Macaca fascicularis: one gene and its partners. The protein of the gene in region 1 interacts with the protein of each later gene in a pairwise test. Links are inferred from orthologs where the notes say so. Each region holds a gene or a part of one and is shown in the gene's direction. Other genes may lie near its edges.

What was found.
Region 2: the proteins of DAB1 (region 1) and MBNL1 interact in binary tests that used the Homo sapiens proteins (3 or more experiments, as listed by UniProt). The link is inferred for Macaca fascicularis from reciprocal best matches to the Homo sapiens genes DAB1 and MBNL1.
Region 3: the proteins of DAB1 (region 1) and LNX1 interact in binary tests that used the Homo sapiens proteins (3 or more experiments, as listed by UniProt). The link is inferred for Macaca fascicularis from reciprocal best matches to the Homo sapiens genes DAB1 and LNX1.
Region 4: the proteins of DAB1 (region 1) and CLASRP interact in a two-hybrid assay, tested with the Homo sapiens proteins (2 studies listed by BioGRID and IntAct). The link is inferred for Macaca fascicularis from reciprocal best matches to the Homo sapiens genes DAB1 and CLASRP.
Region 5: the proteins of DAB1 (region 1) and VENTX interact in binary tests that used the Homo sapiens proteins (3 or more experiments, as listed by UniProt). The two-hybrid records come from large-scale screens. The link is inferred for Macaca fascicularis from reciprocal best matches to the Homo sapiens genes DAB1 and VENTX.

The regions. Positions count from the first base shown.
Region 1 is NC_088375.1:176,441,365-176,445,305, forward strand, and holds the start of DAB1 (disabled homolog 1), read left to right. Parts: upstream 1-1,130; 5' UTR 1,131-1,391; intron 1,392-3,941. UniProt on the Homo sapiens protein: Signaling adapter of the reelin-mediated signaling pathway, which regulates the migration and differentiation of postmitotic neurons during brain development.
Region 2 is NC_088376.1:55,377,901-55,381,411, forward strand, and holds part of MBNL1 (muscleblind-like protein 1), read left to right. Parts: intron 1-1,556; coding exon 1,557-1,757; intron 1,758-3,511. UniProt on the Homo sapiens protein: Mediates pre-mRNA alternative splicing regulation. Acts either as activator or repressor of splicing on specific pre-mRNA targets. Inhibits cardiac troponin-T (TNNT2) pre-mRNA exon inclusion but induces insulin receptor (IR) pre-mRNA exon inclusion in muscle.
Region 3 is NC_088379.1:80,251,432-80,255,717, forward strand, and holds the start of LNX1 (E3 ubiquitin-protein ligase LNX), read left to right. Parts: upstream 1-1,485; 5' UTR 1,486-1,795; intron 1,796-4,286.
Region 4 is NC_088393.1:53,079,239-53,083,395, forward strand, and holds the start of CLASRP (CLK4-associating serine/arginine rich protein), read left to right. Parts: upstream 1-1,350; 5' UTR 1,351-1,403; intron 1,404-2,442; exon of another isoform or gene 2,443-2,476; 5' UTR 2,477-2,505; coding exon 2,506-2,604; intron 2,605-4,157. UniProt on the Homo sapiens protein: Probably functions as an alternative splicing regulator. May regulate the mRNA splicing of genes such as CLK1. May act by regulating members of the CLK kinase family.
Region 5 is NC_088383.1:142,308,078-142,312,233, forward strand, and holds the start of VENTX (homeobox protein VENTX), read left to right. Parts: upstream 1-1,348; 5' UTR 1,349-1,777; coding exon 1,778-2,018; intron 2,019-3,264; exon of another isoform or gene 3,265-3,421; coding exon of another isoform or gene 3,422-3,461; intron 3,462-3,576; coding exon 3,577-3,737; intron 3,738-3,818; coding exon 3,819-4,156. UniProt on the Homo sapiens protein: May be involved in ventralization.

The DNA.
Region 1 (3,941 bases):
CTAGCCACACTTCCTTCCTCCTGCTATTCAAACACATTCAACCTGTTCCTTCTTCAGGGCCTTGGCACTTGTTCTCACTATTTCTAATGACTGGTTCCTTATCATACAGACCTCAGATCAGTGGTCATGTGCTTAGAGGGCTGTTTCCCAAACGCCCAGCCTGATGTCCTACCCCAGTCATTTTCTATCACATGTCGTCATCTACTTAAATTTTGGTCAATAGTGATAATTACTATCCAATAGCTTCTTGCTGATTTACTTGTTTATTTTCCGCCTTACTAGAGAGCAGGTTACAAGAGAATAAAAATTACTTGTCTGTGTTCTTTTGAATGTTCTGCCCGTCTCCATAAAGTAGAGGTTGGCTCATAGTAAGCACACAAAAATATTTATTGATGAGTGAATTGTTACTGATATATAATTACCTCAAGAAGGGCAGACCTGCGTCAGATGAAGGAAGAAAAACTCATGTTTTGCTATCACTTACCATGTGTCAAGCTCTGTGCTTGTCTCATGTGATTATCACAATTCTATGAGACATATGGTTCCCATTTTGTAGATGAAGAAATGGAAGCTCAATCATTTGGTCGTTTGATAAGACCACACAGATACAACCGAAACCCTGGTCTGTCTGCTTCAGTGCCCACACACTTGATTGTGGGGTGTGCATAACATGTCTCAGGGGTTTATGTACCTGCAGGAGAGTGTGTGTCTGCTGCTGCAAAATCTTGCACCTGTGAACACCGCAAGAAGGAGGAGGCTGTGTAAAAGCACATGCAGGCCAAGACCCTAGAGGCAGCTCAGAGAGGGCTCTCCCTAGTAAATCACTTTTGCTTAACCCGAAGCCCATACTTCCCAGGGGAGCAGACACTGAGCACCGCAAACGGTGAAGACTGCAGAATGGCTGCAAGTTGTAGACCTCACTGTGACCGTAGCAGAGAAGGGAGTCTGCGAGTGGGTGCTGAGGTCCTTCCCACTCAGAGCTCACATTCAGGCCAGGTCGGTCAGGCCGCGCCACCTCTTCGGGCAACAGCATTCCGCGCTAGGTAGCGAAATGCTGAGGGGCTCCCCTATTCGGGGGAATGCGGTAGTGATGTATAAGGTATGAAAGATGTGGCCTGCAGAGAGCCGGCACTATCTCTACTGCTGCTGCTGCTGCTTCTGCTGTTGCTGCCGCTGCCTCTGCTGCCACCACCACTACTGCTGCCAGCGGAGCTGCTGGGAGTGAGCATCCCCTCTCCGGGATACCCAGCTCCGCGGCATCTCCCGCGCGCCCTGGCCCCACACGGACCTGCCAGCCCCAGGGAACAAAAGCGGAGCCCGCTCGTCCTCTACTGCAGCCGGAGGATGAGTCGAGAGGGCTGAGCGGAGAGTGTGGTCCTCGGCGGCTGGAGGTAGGAAAAGATGTTGCGCCCGCCGCGGCGTGGGAGGCTCGAGGTGGGCGCGCCGGGGTAGGGGCGGCCGCGGGGGCCCATCCGTCCAGTGGGCGCTGCCCGCACCCGGCGAGGTGGTGGTCTGCAACGCTGCGCCCGCACTGCCCACTGTGGGTTGGGCGCCGCGGTCTCGCGGCCGCGAGAGAGCCTCCTGGGTGGGAACTGGAGGCAGCAGGGGAAAAGTCTGGAGCCAGAAGCCAGGCAACGGCTGCCGCGGCGGCTGCGGAGGGCTGCCCGCGGCGCTTGGCGGCGCGCGTCTCACCGCGCAGAGTGGGCAGGCGGCGGCTGCAGTGTGCGCAAAGTTTTGGGTGGCGCGCAAAGGCGCAGGCGAGGGCTGCCGCACCGAGCCGGCCAAGTTGTGGCCGGAGCGCCAGGGCGACCCTCGGGCTTCCCCCACCACGCGGAATCGCCCGAGCCAAGCGGCTCTTGCTCCCTGACACCCCAGCTGAGGCCGAGTTGACGCGCAGCCATTTAACCCTTTCTGTTCCGAGGAAACAACTTCATCCGCGTCGACGACTGGACTCGGGCTAGCTGGGTAGCCTTGAGGTTCCCGGCAGGTTCAGTCCTTCTGTGATCTTGCGCATTTCCTCGCTCAGTCCGCGTTTTCATTTCTTTTTTGTCCACTTCTGTATCTAGAAACCAGGCAAGCTGGCCAGGGGTCTTACCCAAAGTCTGTAATTTTAACCCTCGCGCCATCTGGACGCATGCTTTCTTTCTGCCCTCTCAGCTTGGCTCTTTGATGCTGCTTTGAAAAATAAGATGATTAATCAATTAGGTTAGTGGCCAATTAGGCATAACCTTGTAGGAAAATAATTATGCCCGGCTCTCTGGGCTTTCACTGATGATGAGGTGGGAATCCAGCCCAGGTGGAGGGGCTGTTCCGAAAAGATAGGGCTGATCAGGGAATTTCTGAGAATTTAAGATTAAAAAGATCCAACTATGTGGTGGTGGCTGAGGTTGTGGGGGTGCAGTAGGAGTTTGTGTGTGTGTGTACCAATTTTTGCCGATAAAATTAACCCTTGGCAGCACAGTATGGGTGGACTTTGCAGGCAGCCTGTTTCGAACAGCTCAGAAAAGGTGTGTCCCCTTGCTTTCCAAGCCCCCTCCTCTCCTCTCTTTCAGAGGGGCTCTTGCCTGTAAATCGCCTTGCTGTGTTTTTGCTTCCGCTTTGGGAGGCTGAGTTCCAATGAATGCATTTTAGTTTCGTGTCCGAGGAATCGCGTCGTTGCAGACCGAGGTTCCTTACTGTGCCTTCCGAGGATGCACATTTCCCGTGATCATGTTAAATACAGCGGTTATTAAATGGGTGCAAAAGAAAGACAATCTGTTTCCAGGCCTGGGAAGTTCTGCTGCAGAGCGGGGCTTCCTTTTGCTTTTGGAATGACTGGTGGGGTTTGGCACTGCAGTATTACAATACAGCCATATTAAAAAGGTCTTCAGAGCTTGGAGCCCTCTACCACTGCAGCCCCATCTTCCACACACTTCCCTGCCCAAATCCTTCGTGCAGGGAACATGTAGTGAATTTCGTACCTGCACCATGTGCATTTGAACCTCTTTCTGTCTCTATTTTAAGCTGCTTCTATCTCTTTATACATTCGGATGCTAGATAGTAGATTTCTGTTAAGATTCTGTTCAAAATCTAGAGGTGTTCCCAGGGCAGAGGGATTTTTGCAACAGGTCCTAGGTCTGGGTTTTCTAATAATAGATCTCCCTGGCATTTAGTGACATGGGGCCCCAGTCTCTCCACCAGTGACCTGACAAGGGTTGGACCAAGGGATCTCTGAAATCCCCTGCAGTGCTGACATTAGCTGGTTCTGAATTTTATGGCTTTTTCTTTTTCTCAGCTGAGCGGAAGGAGTAGCTGGAGCAGTACACGCAATGTGACAGCAACAGTGCCACCTCGCTCCTAGTGGAAAGGAATGGGGGCTGGCCAGGGCTTATTGGCAAATAGGGATTTCCCAGCTGGAAGACTGCCTGGTGATACTGGTGTGCAGGGACAACTGGGAGCCACAGGATTCACCCGCCTCCCTCAAAATGAATGGCCACCATTCAGCACTCTCTCTTTGACAAGATTTTTCTTTTCTTGAATCTGGACTCAGCTAGTTGCCTTACAGTGACCACATTTGTGGATCAGATTCTTGTGCAAGCAAAAGCCTTGCTCCTTTTTAAAAATGGAATCTTTTGTACATACCGGGAAGGGATGCAGAGTGAGAATAGAGGGAGAGAAGAAAGAAGAGAGGGGAAGAGGCAAAGGAAGGAGTGAGTGGGGGGCAGAGCTAAGAGATATAGAGAGACAGAGATAGCTTAAGTCTTCAAATGCAACCAGACAGTGGGAAAGAGGAAGCAGAGACAGAGAACTAGGTTGGGGGTTGGGGGTTGGGGAGGTTGGTGGTGAGGAGAAGAAGGGAGAGATGCAGGAAGGGAAAGAAAAGCAGCGAGGGAAATACTAGCCCTAAGAGGGAGCGATTAGAGCCCACATGAAGCAAGACCAGTCTTACCATCTAGCTTAGA
Region 2 (3,511 bases), on another chromosome or scaffold:
AATTAGTTATTAATACATTATAATGTCTCTTTTATTCTAAAAAATGTTCTGTAATTCTGTTCATTACTACTGAGTAAAGAAAATAAATTGTTAAATATTACCTTAAAGAGGCTGGGCTCGGTGGCTCAGGCCTGTAATCTCAGCACTTTGGGAGGCCAAAGTGGGCAGATCATGAGGTCAGGAGATTGAGACCATCCTGGCTAACATGATGAAACCCCGTCTCTACTAAAAATACAAAAAATTAGCCAGGCATGGTGGCAGGCACCTGTAGTCCCAGCTACTAGGGAGGCTGAGGCAGGAGAATGGCATGAACCCGGGAGGTGGAGCTTGCAGTGAGCCAAGATTGCACCACTGCACTCTAGCTGGGGCAACAGAGCAAGGCTCCGTCTCAAAAAAAAAAAAAAAAAAAAAAAAATTACCTTAAAGAACAGCATCCGTTTTGCCTACAAGCTTTTGTGTTTCAGAAACAAGCATTATTACATGAAGCATTAAACTTCGAGAACTAGAATTGAGAGTCTGTTAGGAAGTTAAAAATGTACTATCCATAAGATATGAAATTGTTTGTGTTCTGTTATACTTTAAACACTAGAAAAACAAATTGTTAGATTTCAGGTAAATTAATGCTATTCAAGAACAAATATATTTTATGATATGCAAGTTTGCATATCAACAAATAGAAACAATCCTTGTGTATCCATGAAAGCATTTCTGGAAGAAATTCTGTCTTGTAGCAGTTTATTCAGTTCTGCCATATGTATTTCCTTGACTAATCATGTAGCATTTCCTTAGTAGCAGTTCTACTTCAGACTTCACATTTTAGACGTGTTTTCCCTTAGTAAGGTATGATAGACTAGTGGAACATTTATAATTTCCCCCAGAAAAATCACCATCAAGTAAGTATACCAAACACTTTATCTTATGTGCTCAGAAGACAAGGTGTCATCATCACCTTTCCCAAACCCATGAGATTTATTTACAGCTTACATTGACTGTGAAACTCTTTTATCCCCTGGGAGTTCTACTGTATTTATTCCAGATCATAGGACACTTGCAACCTATTAACAGTGGTAAACAGGTCTTTCAAGTACATCTGACATAGCAATTACAAAATGTATTTCTTAGACAAATATCTAGAATTAAGTCAGGGCAAAGATGAAGATTAGGTGACCACAAGGAGTTTCTGCCTAGTTTATCTATTTTTCAAAAAAAAAAAAATTACAAGTATTATAGACCCCCCAGGTTCAAAATTCCAGTGAATAATTTAATGGATATTTTACCTGTTATATTTTAGAAAAACATTGATTTGATGAGTGCTTATTTAATAAAACAGCCTTACCCTAAATGATAGTAAATGAACACAGGATTAAAGGGAAGAAGGCAAGGGAGGAAGAATGGATAGATGGATGGAGGACAAATGGTAAATGAACACAGGATTAAAGGGAAGAAGGGAAGGAAGGAAGAGTTGATAGATGGATGGAGGACAAATGTATAATTAAGAATAATCAACTTTGAGCTGAGACCTGCTTGTTAAATTTTGCTTTTATTTTATTTTTCAGCCAATGTTTTCAGTTGCACCAAGCTTAGCCACCAATGCATCAGCAGCCTTTAATCCCTATCTGGGACCTGTTTCTCCAAGCCTGGTCCCAGCAGAGATCTTGCCGACTGCACCAATGTTGGTTACAGGGAATCCGGGTGTCCCTGTACCTGCAGCTGCTGCAGCTGCTGCACAGAAATTAATGCGAACAGACAGACTTGAGGTAGGAATGACTAGTTGGTGTCTTTATGTAATACATTCTAATTCTCCAAGTGTATTTTTTTGTTTGTTTGTGTTTCCATGGCCAAAAAGTTGTAAAAATTTTAAAACAGAGATTTTGGCTTAGGGTTTGGAACATTTTACTAGAGTATAGATATGCTGTATTTGATTAATGTAATGTTTATAAAGGCTACAACATCCATGTTTAGAATAGTGGATAAGAAGTTGGACCCTAAAGTCAGATTGCCTGGTTATATCACTGTACCTCAATTTCCTCATCTTTAAAACGGCACTTACCTCAAAGAGTTAGGGGAATATCTGGCACATAAGCAAATGCCTCCTGAGTGTTTGTTGTTGTTGCAACTATCAAGAATAACAAACGTTATCAATCCCCTAAAAATTTCTCATAAAGATTTACAAATATTAGTGTCTGTAAAACATTTTACAATTTATTATTGCAAGTTTTCTCATAAGCTGTACAATATTTTGGTTGAAGTAGAAAGGAAACTTTGTTTATGAAGTGTGCTTTCATAAAAGTTTTTTGCATAATCCTCTTAAGTTCTAGAGTAAAGGATGATCAGATGCATGGGCTCCGCTGTTGGTACATGAAAAAGATATTAAAGTTATAAATCTTACTTCAATGTGGTTGTTCAGAATTTCAACATGACTGTGAATTAATGAATTTGGTAAATTATAGATGTAGAGAAAAAGTGACAGCATCAAATGTACATTGAAGATACAAACCTGTCATTGAACCCACCTAAAGAATAAAATGACTTTTTCCTCTTTTCCCTGGTGAGGATGAGGTGATATATTTTTTTAACTTACATTTTAGGTTCAGGGGTACATGTGCAGGTTTTTATATAGGTAAACTTTATACCATTGGGGTTTGGTGTAGAGATTATTTCATCACCCAGGTAATAAGCACAATACCCAATAGGTATTTTTTTCTGATCCTCTCCCCCCTCCCACCAACCACCCTCAAATAGGCCCTAACATCTGCTGTTTCCCTCTTTGTGTCCATGAGGTCTCATCATTTAGCCCCCACTTACAAGTGAGAACATGTGGTATGTGGTTTCCTGTTTCTGTATTAGTTTGCTTCAGATAATGGCCTCCAGCTCAATCTATGTTGCTGCAAAGGACGTGATCTCATTCTTTTTTATGTCTGCATAGTATTCCATAGTGTATATATACCACATTTTCTTTATCCAGGCTACCATTGATGGACACTTAGGTTGATTCCTTGTTTTTGCTGTTGTGAGTAGTGCTGCAGTGAATATACACATGTGTGTCTTTATGGTAGAACGATTTATATTCCTTGGGTAAATACCCAGTAATGGGATTACTGGGTCAAATGATTTCTGTTTTTAGGTCTTTGAGGAATTGCCACACTGTTTTCCACAACGGTTGAATTAATTTGCACTCCCACCAGCAGTGTATAATTGTTTCTATTTCTTTGCAACCTTACCAACATTCATTATTTTTTGAGTTTTTAATAATAGACATTTTAACTGGCGTGAGATGGTATCTGGTGGTTTTGATTTGCATTTCTCTAATATTAGTGATAATGGACATTTTTCATATACTTATTGGCCACTTGTGTATCTTTCTTTGAAAAGCATCTGTTTATGTCCTTCACCCACTTTGTAATAGGGTTGTTTTTTGCTCATAAATTTAAGTTCCTTACAGATTCTAGATATTAGACCTTTGTGGAATACGTAGTTTGTAAATATTTTCTCCCATTCTGTAGGCTGTTTA
Region 3 (4,286 bases), on another chromosome or scaffold:
CCTGATGTCACAACTCTTATGTTTATGAAAACAGAAAACTTGAGCCCACTGGAGGGCATCCTTTTGGTTCCTAATTAACTGTTTTACTTTTGTTTGACCAGATGCCAGCTGCCCTGGGTAACCGCCATGACACAAGAGAGCTAAGTGCTAGCAATTGAAAATAAAGATTAGGGGTAGAACCAAAAAGAGTCAGAAGTGTGACCTTAGGACTGAAAATACATGTGCTGACTTCATCTCACCAGGCAGAATTTTCCAGGTTGGCAATTTTGCCTCATTCACTCCGTGGATTATTGATTAAAAGAAACTTGTAGCAGCTGGCTCCGAAAGTCAAAGGGACAAAGTGGCAATCAGGCCATGACCAAAATGCACACAGAGGCCAAGGAATTTGCAGTGTACTTCCTTGTTTGTAAATCAGAGTCACAGTGGAGAGCTGAAGGCACCGCAGCCAGCGGCACCACCTGTAATTAGGGAGCCACAAGTACCTGCACTCCATGTGTCTTTCTTGCATGTTGCACATACATAAGATAACACCGAGCTCCCGATTCACATCTCTGGAAAGAGACTACTTAATTCACTAATTATTCACATTTCTACTTAGAATCGAATTCCCAGAGCTTATCGCTTATTTAAGCAAAATCTTTGGCCATCACTGGAGCTGTCATCCCACAGAAGTGCTTAAGCAAACCAGTGGGAAAAGCAAAACTCAGAAAAGCACACTTCCAGAAGCGCAACGTTTACATTTTTAACTAGCTGGGTCACTTTGCAGGAACGACTTAATGTCTCTAATCCTCAGTTTCTTTATCTATATAATGGGAGTGATAATTATAGATTCTGTTGAGAATTAAATTAAATAATGCAGGTCAGGTAATTACTACAGAACCTGGTAGGCAGTAAGCACTTAATAAATGTTAGCAAAGATGTTGCAGCGGCTGACAATGATGGCGATGGTAATGCTGAAGAATGAGCAGAAGAAATCCTTATTTAAACAATCATTCTGTATCTTTAGAGTTAAGAGTCTTAAGTAGTATCAGCCACAAACTTGCTCAGTCTTTTTCTTTGTCCACAAACATTAGCCAGTGTTCAGTTATGAGCAATACTGCCGAGAGAAAATCTTTGAAAGTTTTGGCAAGGTATTGGAACAAGTCAGAACTACTTATTTGCCTGATATAGATTTTGGTGCATGTCCCTTTTCATATTCAAAAATAAAAGATGCCCAGGATTCTAGGGCCTGTCCAGTCAGCAGCCCCTGCCTATTAGCATGATAATGTTCCAGACCTAATGATGGCCTGAAGGTGTGGTGACCCTGTGTTTATTTCCTTGTTGATTTCCCTTCTCTGGCTCCAAGATCATTTTCCCATTGCCCACAGGAAACAACATCTAGGGGCGAGGTAGGCCTGACTTGGCAACCCTAAAGGTGAACAAAAGGATCTTGGCTTTTGGCAAAAGCAGAAGGAAGTTCAGGGGCGTCTCAGCCCCATCCAAACCAGAATAGATTTGTCACTGATGCTAATGCATGCTGCTCTGCAGGGGACCACTCTCCCGCTAAGCTCTCCATAGCTGCTCTCAGTTTTATGAATCTGCTCTACCCAAAGCCTTGCAGAAGGGACAGGGGATGCCCTGGTTAACCCCTGCATGTACAATGGTGGAGCAGTTTTGATGCATAGCTGGGACACAGAATACTGGAAAGAGAAAGAAAAATTTCCTGAGCTACTGCTAAGCCAGCAAAACTCATCTCTCAAACGGACTATCACCTGAGACTTCACACAGCTGGGAACTGATCCGCAATACAGCAAAGGTAAGATGGCCTAGTTCCTCTACAAGGTAGAATCTCATACCATTTTTTAAAAATGTCACCTCTGCCCACTCAGCCCCCAGTTCTCACCTCTCTCTCTCTCTCTCTCTCTCTCTCTCTCTCTCTCTCTCTCACACACACACACACACACAGACACACACACCCCCCAAACTGAGGAGAGTCTAAAAGATGGAAATATCTAGGTGTGTCTTTTTGAAAACACTAGAAACGCCTTGGCATTTCCTCTCTTTATACCCTATTTTTTTCTGCAGTGGCCTTCATTCAAAGCTTATTTACTTTGACAAATGAAAACGACTTGCCAGACAGATCAGTAAAAATATAAGTAATCCCACTAACAGTAACTGGGTTTATGCGACAATATTCTTTATCGGTATTTAAAACACATTCACACACAGACTTTGTTTCATTCCACAGTAGGAGTAGGTGTTGCATTGTAGTTTTACCCATGGATAAAGAGGTTGAGAGAAGCTGTGACCTGCTCATGGATGTGTAGAGTTGTGGGTGACCAGCAGCACATCCTGTCTTCATTCCTATCTCTTTTCAGTAGAATGGTGACCCTACTCTTTACAGAAAATTCCAGACTACATTCTTGGCCATGTATTCTGACAAATGGTCTGATGAGAGGATGGAATTTTAGAAATTGGAACTCTCAGGAAAATCCAGAAATAGATAGCCACAGTATCCTGTACAATACACCACCTTGTCATGTATTCCTGTTTACTTCCATTCCTGGGCATTGAATTCAGTTCAACAAATGTCGATAAACTATGTTCCCTGCTCCAACACTGACTGGCTCATATGTCAGGGCGTGGTGCAAGTCCTGTGCCCAAGGAATGCTGAGGCAGTGCAGAGTAGGATGGCGGGGTGGGGGGCTTCCCTAAAGAGGTGAGCTTCAAGTAAGCTCAGCATAAAGAGTGGACTTGGATTGAGGGAGAGCATTCAGATACACAAATCCCCCGGGAGGAATTTGTTGAGTGAACATTTACTTACACCAAGTCCATGGTGGCAGAGCTGAGGGGCAAGGAGCACAGCCTGAGGAATTAGACTGTCTGGCCTTGACTCTTGGTTCTACTTCCCACTAGCTCTGCATCTTGGAGTACCTCAGTTAACACCGCTAACCTCACCTTGCCAATATGTAAAATGAGAATGATGGTAATACATCCCTCATAAGGTTGTCTTCAGCTGTGAATGATTATGTATGGGAAGTCTTTCCTGATGCATAACAACTGCACAATAAATATTAATACTAACTAGTGTGATGACCATGTGCCTGGCTCCAAGGGAGATGCAGGGAATACAGATAAGAGGAGGCCTACCCTCAGTGTAATCAAAACGTCATGAGTTAGTTGTGTGCAGCTAATGACATGAGATGTGATGCATGCTCTGGAACCACGAGGGTGGAATCTTTTAAGTCTGTGTGAGTTAGGGTTGGGGTTCTGGGGGGACAGGGAAGGGGGCAGAGGTTTCACAGCAGAGGCCCTATGTGTAGGGCGGTAGTATAGATCAGTGAAAAGAGCTAGACAGATCTAATTTTGAATCCCAGTTTCCTCCTCTATTTACGTATCTATTTATTTCTATATTAATCTATATGTATTGAAAGCCATAAATTCATACTGCCAATTCATACTTCCAATTCATACTTCCAATTCCAATCCAACACTCCCTTTCTACATTTGTAACTCCCTTCTCTAACATTCATCAGAAGCTGGCTCCCATTATCCTTAATATATTATATGCTTATTCACTCAATCCCCCAAATGTCATCAACTGCCATCATGACACTGTCCCCTGCCCCATGCAGACGCCCTCCGCACCCTGACGCTTTGTTCTGGGCCGCCCTGAGCTGGCTCCTGGAATTCTGGAGCTACCATATGTCCTCCACACGCGCACAGGTGCCTACTTTGCTCAGCCCTATGTAATGTCTTTAAGGACTGTGACACATGCTATACATTTGTGTATGTACCTGTGTTGTCACTGTCTTTGGAGGGGGATAGAGCTATCTCCTCCATACAGGTAGGGCACATGTCCTCAGCATCAGGCCTGAAGAAGCCAGGCTCATTCCATTCATTCTATTCCACTTGGTCTGCTGATCTATATGGATGTGGACTGCTCACTGTATGCTCGGGGTAGTAACAACATTTCCAGGGGTGAAAAGTACTATTTGGGCAGTCACTGTTCCTTTTGCTTCTCTGTCAAGTCCTTGTCTAGGTTCTCCATTATTCATTTACTTAACAACAGATATGAAGCACTTACAAGGTAACTGGTGCTTGGTTAGGGTGGGACATAGAGATTTAAAACCTTAGTCACCACCCTCAAGGAACTCCCAGTCCACTGTGGGAAGCAGACAAGCCATAAATTTCCATTCCATGTGGCCAAGTGCAATGAGAGCCTACACAGCCTGCCATCAGAGGGCACCTAGCTCAGACTGGGTGGGCACAGAGGAGATACCCAAGGGGAATCCTAAATGGGCAGA
Region 4 (4,157 bases), on another chromosome or scaffold:
CAAGGCGGGAGGATCGCTTGAGCTCACGAGTTTGAGATCAGCCTGGGCAAAAAGACGAAACCTAGTCTCTACAAAAAATACAAAAATTAGCCGGGCATGGTGGCGCATGCCTGTAGTCCCAGCTACTCGGGAGGCTGAGGTGGGAGAATTGCTTGAACCCAGGAGGCAAAGGTTGCAGTGAGCCTAGATCGCGCCACTCTAGCCTGGGCGACAAAGACAGACTCCGTCTCAGAAAAAAAAATAAAATAAAATAAAAAAGATAAAAAGATGGCTGTAACATTCTAGTTTATGCCCTGAAAAGGGGAATATAGTCATTCTATAGTGTTTGGAGATTTTGGGTTACCCTTAATTGTATGCAAGTTGTCTTACTGTGTATTGTCCCTTAATTTCAGGACTCAGATTTCATGCTTGAAGAAATGCAGGTTAGTTTAAACTTTCAAGGAAATTTTTTTTTTTTTTTGAGATGGAGTCTGGCTCTGTCGCCCAGGCTGGAGTGCAGTGGCTGGATCTCAGCTCACTGCAAGCTCCGCCTCCCGGGTTTACGCCATTCTCCTGCCTCAGCCTCCCGAGTAGCTGGGACTACAGGCGCCCGCCACCTCGCCCAGCTAGTTTTTTTGTATTTTTTAGTAGAGACGGGGTTTCACCGTGTTTGCCAGGATGGTCTCGATCTCCTGACCTCGTGATCCACTCGTCTCGGCCTCCCAAAGTGCTGGGATTACAGGCTTGAGCCACCGCGCCCGGCCTCAAGGAAATTTTTAAGGTGGCAAAAGGTTTTAGTGGCATATACATCTTAATCTGTAGATGGGAGTGATTAGCTGTTTAAAAGTTGAAATGTGACTGAAAAGGAAATGGAGTAGGGCAAATTTTAAATGGGATTATTTTTCATCTTCAAACAGGCAGACCTGTTATCCTAAACTAGGGTTTTTAATGACCACAGCAAGCAAGCATGCAGCTTACCGCTTGAAAGACAGGGTCTTTCCTCACCCAAGCTGGAGTGCAGTGGCCCTCTGAAGCTTACTACAGCCTCAGACGTCTGGGCTCAAGTGATCCTCAGCCTCCCAATGGTCTTTGTAGACAGCCTGATGGAGTCTCATGGCACAAGAAGATTAAAACAGTGTCTCCAATTTTAATAAATTTTTGCAATCCAAAAAAAAAATAAATAAAAATAAAAATAAATAAATAAAATTAAAAAAGATAAAGCATCCAAGCTCTTCCCTTCTCGGTTCTACCGCTTCTTCCTCTGACCCCGCCCCTCTCAACCCTAGGACCCGCCCCTCACGTCGGCGGAACTGCGCTGTGCAGAGCTCCACCACGCTCCGCCCCCTCTCCCTAGCGCGGCCTTTCATTTCCGCTTCCTGTGCGGGCAGCGCGCGAGCGCAGCTTTGGGAGGCGGAGACCAGCCGGTGAGTGCAGGCGGCGGGCTCGACCTCCCGGTTTTCGGGCAGGCGTCAGCCCAGCTTCTCCCTTTCCTTAGGCTTTTCCCATACTGCTGTAGGCTTCTGCTGCGTCCCGGCCCCGAGGATCGCTCGTCCCTCACCCCATTCGGCCTGACGGGCCTCAGGCCGCGCCCGTGCCCCGGCTGTGGGCCAGAAGTTGCCGCGTCGGACTCGGCCTTCGGCCAACAGCTTATCACAGTCCCCGCCCCCATGTCAAAAAAAAACCCAAAAAAAACAATCCAGCCCAAATCCTCAGGCCGCGACGCGATCCACAAGCCCTGTCCAAACCTTCGGTCTCCTCCCTTTCCCACAAGCCCTGCCCCCAAGCTCAGCCCACGCCCTCCCGTCAGCCAACTCCGCCTCTCTCAAGCTCTACCCTCTTTTTCCTTGGGTACTCTCCACACCCTGCCATCTAGATCCCATCTTTAGACCTCAACTTCACTCTGGTCTCCTTGCAACACTCTCTTCCCGTGTTCCTACTCCCTCTAGCATCTTCATTTTCCGCCACGCCCTTCACCTGTCCTCGACCTCCACCTTCATGCAACTGCACTGTTCCCTTAAAGGCTTTCTCCGATTTCCTCCACCTGCCTTCATCCTTACCTTCCTTATCCCTCTAGCACCCAGACTCATACCCACGCATGGCCCCTAGTGGGAGCCTTTTCAGCTCTTCTCTTTCTCTTGAGCTCCAGCCTTAGGTGCTCAGGGTTTGCCGTCTGACCCTACTTCAAACTACTGACCCTACTGATGTTTCAAAACTTTCATCCCCGACTCCAGCGCATGGAATGTAGGACACCCCTTTCCCAGGGATGCTCACCTCAGAATCACCTAAGGGTTTTTTAGAATGCCCAAGTTGCCAGATCGAAGTTGTTAGGGATGGACTTGAACATCTGGCATACCGTTCTGCAGCTTCACTTCTGCTCCCTGAAGCTAAGCGATGTGTTGTTTGGGATCGACTCTGTCACCAACTTGTTAGATGACTTTGATTCTGCCCATATGGTTTTCACAGCCCATCTTCCTTTCCTGGTCCCTTCATCCCTCAGGTTGAGGCCCCAGGCTTGGCCTCACCACAATGTGGCACGAGGCTCGGAAGCATGAGCGGAAACTTCGAGGCATGATGGTCGACTACAAGAAGAGGGCGGAGCGGAGACGGGAGTATTATGAAAAGATCGTGAGTAACTGGCCTTTCGTCTGGGGTGGGGGACCCTAGTTTGGGGGACACAGGTCATCCTGGTAAAATCTGGGCTTGGAAGTATGTCAAGACAAGAGGCTTATTTCCTCAGGAGTATATTCATTAATCTTTTCTTGAGCATAGTCATTGTTAGGATCCCAAGAGCTTCTGTTTGTTGTAACATACTGTGTCGTTTGGTGTGGCCTCCCAGTGCCGATCTGGTGTTAGCAAGAAAAAGGGAAGTCTCTGTAATCCTCAGAGCAGTCCTGACGTTAGACTGGCCACCTCCAGAACGTTGTCTGTTTTGCTTGTTGCTGGGTTCCCCATTCCCAGAAGAGCTCAGCCACTCTTGAGGTTTGGCTTGGCACACAATAGGAGTGAGTATTAAGTTGGCTGGGCACGGTGGCTCACACCTGTAATCCCAGCACTTTGGGAGGCCGAGGTGGGCAGATCACCTGAGGTCACGAGTTTGAGACCAGCCTGGCAAAAATGGTGAAATCCCGTCTCTACTAAAGATACATAAATTAGCCAGGCTTAGTGGTGTGTGCATGTAGTCCCAGCTACTCGGGAGGCTGAGGCACGAGAATTGCTTAGCCTGGGAGGGGGAAGCTGCAGTGCACGGAGATGGCGCCACTGCACTCCAGCCTGGGTGACAGAGCTAGATTCTGTCTCAAAAAAAAGGAAAAAAAAAAAAGGAGTGAATATTAAGTGAAACCTGACCACTTCCCTCTCCTGTTTGATGCTTCAGTTGTTTTGGGGGGAAGACCAAACTATCCCTGGCCTAAAAGACCCTTGTGGTCTGACCACTGAGCTTCATCCTTGGACAGCTCCACTGGCCTTCTATTTCTGCCACCACGGGGCTTTGGCCTGTATTACCCCCTCCTCACCTGTTTAACTCCTCTGTCTCCTTGGGATCCCAGCTTGAAATGGCACCTGTTTACTAGGTTCAGTTTTCCTGTCAGATGACATTTATATAGACATTTTCCATTTGCTCCTGTATTACTGCCCCAGCCTCCTCTCTGGTCCGCTGGCCTCCAGTCCTGGCTCCTCCAGTCTGTCCTCCCTAGAAGAGTCCAAGAGGCCTTTCTAAAGCGCAAAACTGACCCTGTCCCTTTCTTGCTCACAGCACCTCTATGGCTTCTAAGTACCCTTGAGAGAAAGCCTAGGCTCCTCACTGTGGCCTTTAGGGTCCTGCATGGCCTGGTCTTTGCCCCTCCTCCAGACTCACACCACCCCACACTGCCTTGTTCCTTTGCACAAGTCATTTTGGCCTCCTTGCTATTCCTCCACTGACCCAAGCACTCCCCAGCCACAGGACCTTTGTATGAGCTCTTCCCATACCTGGTTAACTACTGCTCATCTGTCAGATCTCAGTCCTCAGAGCAGTCTTGTTTCCCGAGCTCAGTCAGGTGTCCTCTAAAGATGCCGTAATTGTAGCTCCCTTTCCTTCCCCTTTGTGGAATTTAACACACTTAAGATACACATACATGGGCCTGGTGTGGAGGCTCATGCCTGTAATCCCAGCATTTTGGAAGGCCGAGGTGGGTGGATCA
Region 5 (4,156 bases), on another chromosome or scaffold:
CCCACTGCGGGAGGGCTGGGTACCTGCCTCATGGGGCATCCTCGGGGCCAGCCCTGTGGCCGTAGGCATCTGGGCCCTCGCTGCCCCTGGCCGGAACACTCTGCTGGTCCTGGGCAGTGGCTTCAAATCCCCTCTCCCGGGGGTGACCCGGTCTTTCCGGAGATGAAGTGGGGACGGGGTCTAGGCCGCCTTCCTGGCCCCCCAGCCCTCCTGGTTTTACCCCCGAGGCCACGTCCAAAGCCCCCAGCGCCCCACCCCTGCCAGCCTCCCCCTTGAGGGCCCGGTGGCCTAACTGGGTCGGCAGGGTCCGAGGAAGACCAGGGTCAGCAGCGGCGCAGTCCGTTCCCCGACCCCGTCACCTGTGACCCACCTGTTCCCCGTGAGGTCCCGCCCCAGCGCCCCCCTCCCGGGCTCCTCCCTCTTTTCTCAGCCCGGGAGGCGCGGATAGCCGGGTTGGGCGTAACCGTGGGGCGAGGCCCGCGGGTCTTTCTGATTTCGGAGAGCGGGGTGGGCGCTGAGGCAACCGCGGTCAGGACCCGGCCGGGAGTCGGGGCTGCTCCCTGGACCCCGTCTGCGCCGAAACCCCGCATGGCTTCGGACCTGCGCCCGCGCCTAACCCCGGCCGCCGGAGACGCAGTGTGGACCCCAAGCCAGTGCGCGGAAGACACCGTCCTACCCTCGGCGTGGGCGCAACGCGAGTCCGTGTGTCCCGGCGCGCGGGAAGCTGGTCCGAGGCCGGAGGGAACGCTCGCGGCGTGGCTGCCTCCCACCCGGCCACTTCGGCCCCGCGCCCCACCCCGACGGCGCAGGCGACCCGGGGACGCCCAGGACGCGGAGACGCAAACAACTCGGGACCAAGGTTCGTGGGAGCAGCGGCCGCGCGTCGCGATGACCGTCCCGGGAGCCCGTGCTCAAGGCGTCCCCGTGAGGTTTGGGCTCCACAGTCCCCGGCGGCTCTGCCCCCGCCCTGGCCACAGTGGGGACAGCCCGGCTTGGCGGGGACGCGCCAGTCCCGCAGCCGAAGCGGAGTGTCTACCCCGCCGCGCGAGGCAGTGGCTCCGGCCCTTCCAGCTCCGGATGGGGTCAGGGAGCCGCCCGCGCCCGCATGCGGAGGCTGCTGCGATGGCCCCGGGAGTGAGTCCCCCAGAGGAGCCGGAGTAGGGCTGGAAGCGGACGAGTGCCCCGAGAGGCCCCTCCCGACATTGCCGTCCCCGCGCGCCGCTCCCCGAGCCCTCCGCGTCTTTCCCGGAAAGCGTCCCTCGGTTCCTGCGCGACCGCACAGCCTGGACGCAGCGCACGCGGGCACCGGCTGAGTCCGCCCTGACTCTCCCAGCCTGAAGCCTGCTCGCCCTCGGGTGTCCGGGCTGGGCACAGGCGCCAGCGTCCCCCTGGAGAGGAGAGGTCGCCCGGCACCGCCCAGGGCAGGCCCGAGTGGGAGCGGGACCCTCCTACCTTCCAGCAGCCTCGGCCCGCGGGGTGGGGGTTGGGAGAGATGAAAGGAGGTGACCGATGCCGAACCGTCCCCTCTCCATTAACCAGGGCCCGCAGCCCCGCCCCTGCCCCAGACACCGAGGAGCCGGGGAGGTGTGAACGGTCTCCTTTGTGTCTCTGAATCGAAGGCAATTAGGCGCTGCTTATCCGGGCGTTAGCCGTGTATGCAAACCGGGCTCCCGCCCCCTCCTCCCGGGCTTATAAACGCCGCCGCCCGGCGAGGCCGGAGGTGGATCCTGCGCCTGGCCAGCCCCGCCCGGCCTTCCCTCCGGCCCACCTGGCCGCCATGCGCCTCTCCTCCTCCCCACCTCGTGGCCAGCAGCAGCCCTCCAGCTTTGGCTCTGTGGACTGGCTCTCCCAGAGCAGCTGCTCAGGGTTGACCCCCTCGCCCAGGCCTGCCGACGTCTCCCCGGGGAGCCTCCCTGGCCCGGGCCAGATATCCGGCGCCCGGGAGCCCCCTCAGGCCATCAGCATCAAGGAGGCCGCCACGTCCTCAGATCTGCCTGCGCCGGAGAGGACCGTGGCTGGTAGGTCCGGGCCGGGGGTCCTTCCCAGGTGGAGATGGGAGTGGGGGAGAGGCCAGGAGCCCGGCGGCTGAACTCCCCGCGGTACGGGGCGGACGAGGACAGGGCCGGGGACGTGTCCATGAGGGCCGGCGGAGGCCTTGCCTGCGCCTCACTGGAGCGCAGCTTCCCTCGAAACCAAAGCCTTGACGGGGATTTTCTCTCCTTGAGCCCTCGGTGGGCTCCTCTGCCTCCCTTGGCACCCCGTTCCTCAGCTGTGTCCCACCGCGGCCTGGTGCCGAGGGACCGTCCAAGGGGTCCCTGTCCGCACCTCTCTGCCCTGATTCCGGGCGCTCACTGAAACACAGCGCGGGCGTGGGCACCTGTGCCCCTAGTGTTCCAGCCCCGCAACCATCGAGACCCAGTTCCAGGGGTCCGACGATTTGCCAAGCCCCCTCTGCCCCCAGCAAAGCCAGTGCCTGCTCAGCATCTAGGCTCAAGCCCCTTCCAGGCCACCTGGAGCACAGCTGTCTTTTAAAGAGCCTGCAGGTTTGCTGTAGGGCGGCGGTGACCCGGTGCCTGCAGAAACTCTGAAGTTCGGTCTGTGGCCCGGAGATGCTCTGTTGTCTGCTGAGAACAAAGGTTCTCCGCGTTTGTGTTTTAGTCTTTGTGACATCGTTGCCGCTTTTAGGTTTAAGGTAGTACTTGGTCAAAAGTGGGGTTAACATAAGTTTTCATTTTTAAAAATTTGACTGATCCTCATGGAGTAACTTTGTACTTCAGGGAAATGAAAATTTAAATATGTTCTTCCCAGCTAGCTATCCTGCCCCACCCCAAAAAAGTCAACCATTCCTGTCCCCCAACCCCCTTCCTGATCCCAGTCCTACAGCCCTCCCCGCCACAAGGCATTTGCTTTTCGGGTCTCCCATGTGCTTTCAGGCTAACGTGAAGACAGATTTTGTAAAATACGCTTCCTTCCGCAGAAACTCCAGTGAGCATTTGGGTCAGACTTGAGTTAAATGTTGAGCTCGTTTCGCCACGTTGGCCTCCTTCCTGGGACCCAGACACACACCACCTTGTGGGGTTGTTTAGTGCCAGCCCCCATTCCTTAACTTAGAAATTAGAAAACAGACTTGACCAAGGTGGGCCTGGGGATTAACTGAGCCGGGCTCTGCTGGCTGAGGAGCCGGAGCCCAGGACAGGGACCGAGTTCCCTGGGTGGGTCCCCAGGCCTTTGCATGTAATGGACTCTACCTTACCTGCCTGGAAGTCTGCAGAAAGGGTATCCTGGGAACCGGCTTCGGAAGGGAAGTGTGGGATGGGGCCGAACTGAGTGAGCTGAGCCAGCCGAGCGGAGGGCAGGCCCAAGCTGCTGGTAGCATTCTCCCTCCCCTGAGTCACCTCTCTCAGCCCCTTTCCGCACGCACATGACCTGGAGGCTGCGGCAGGGCTGCTGGTCACTGTCAGGTGAGAAGATCTGCCCTGCCCAGCCCCCAACATGCTGTCTTCACCTGTTACCTGTGGGCGGGGCTTGCCCCATGGGGTGGCAGGCTCAGCCAAATGCTCTCACCCTCTATGCCAGGGTTGAGTAAGGAGCCAAATACCTTGCGGGGCCCCCGTGTCCGCACAGCCTTCACCACGGACCAGGTCCGCACCTTGGAGGGCGTCTTCCAGCACCACCAGTACCTGAGCCCTCTTGAGCGGAAGAGGCTGGCCAGGGAGATGCAGCTCTCAGAGGTCCAGGTGAGGCGGGCCGGGCTGAGGTGGGCAAGGGTGGGCCGGTGGCCTAGTCTCACCCCTGCTCTGATTTTGGTTTTCCTGCAGATAAAAACCTGGTTTCAGAATCGCCGGATGAAACACAAACGGCAAATGCAAGAAGTCCCGCCGAACAGCCCCTTCCTGGGGTCTCTCCACGTGCCCCCAGCTTTCCACTCACCGTCTTCTGGCCTTGCCAATGGCCTGCAGCTGCTGTGCCCTTGGGCACCCCTGCCTGGGCCCCAGGCTCTGATGCTGCCCCCGGGCTCCTTCTGGGGTCTCTGCCAAGTGGAACAGGAGGCCCTGGCCTGTACGGGGGCTTCCTGCTGCAGGCAACCTCTGGCGCACCACCCCCCAACCACAGGAAGTGGCCTGCCTGCACCGGGACCAGCCCTGTCCACGGGGCC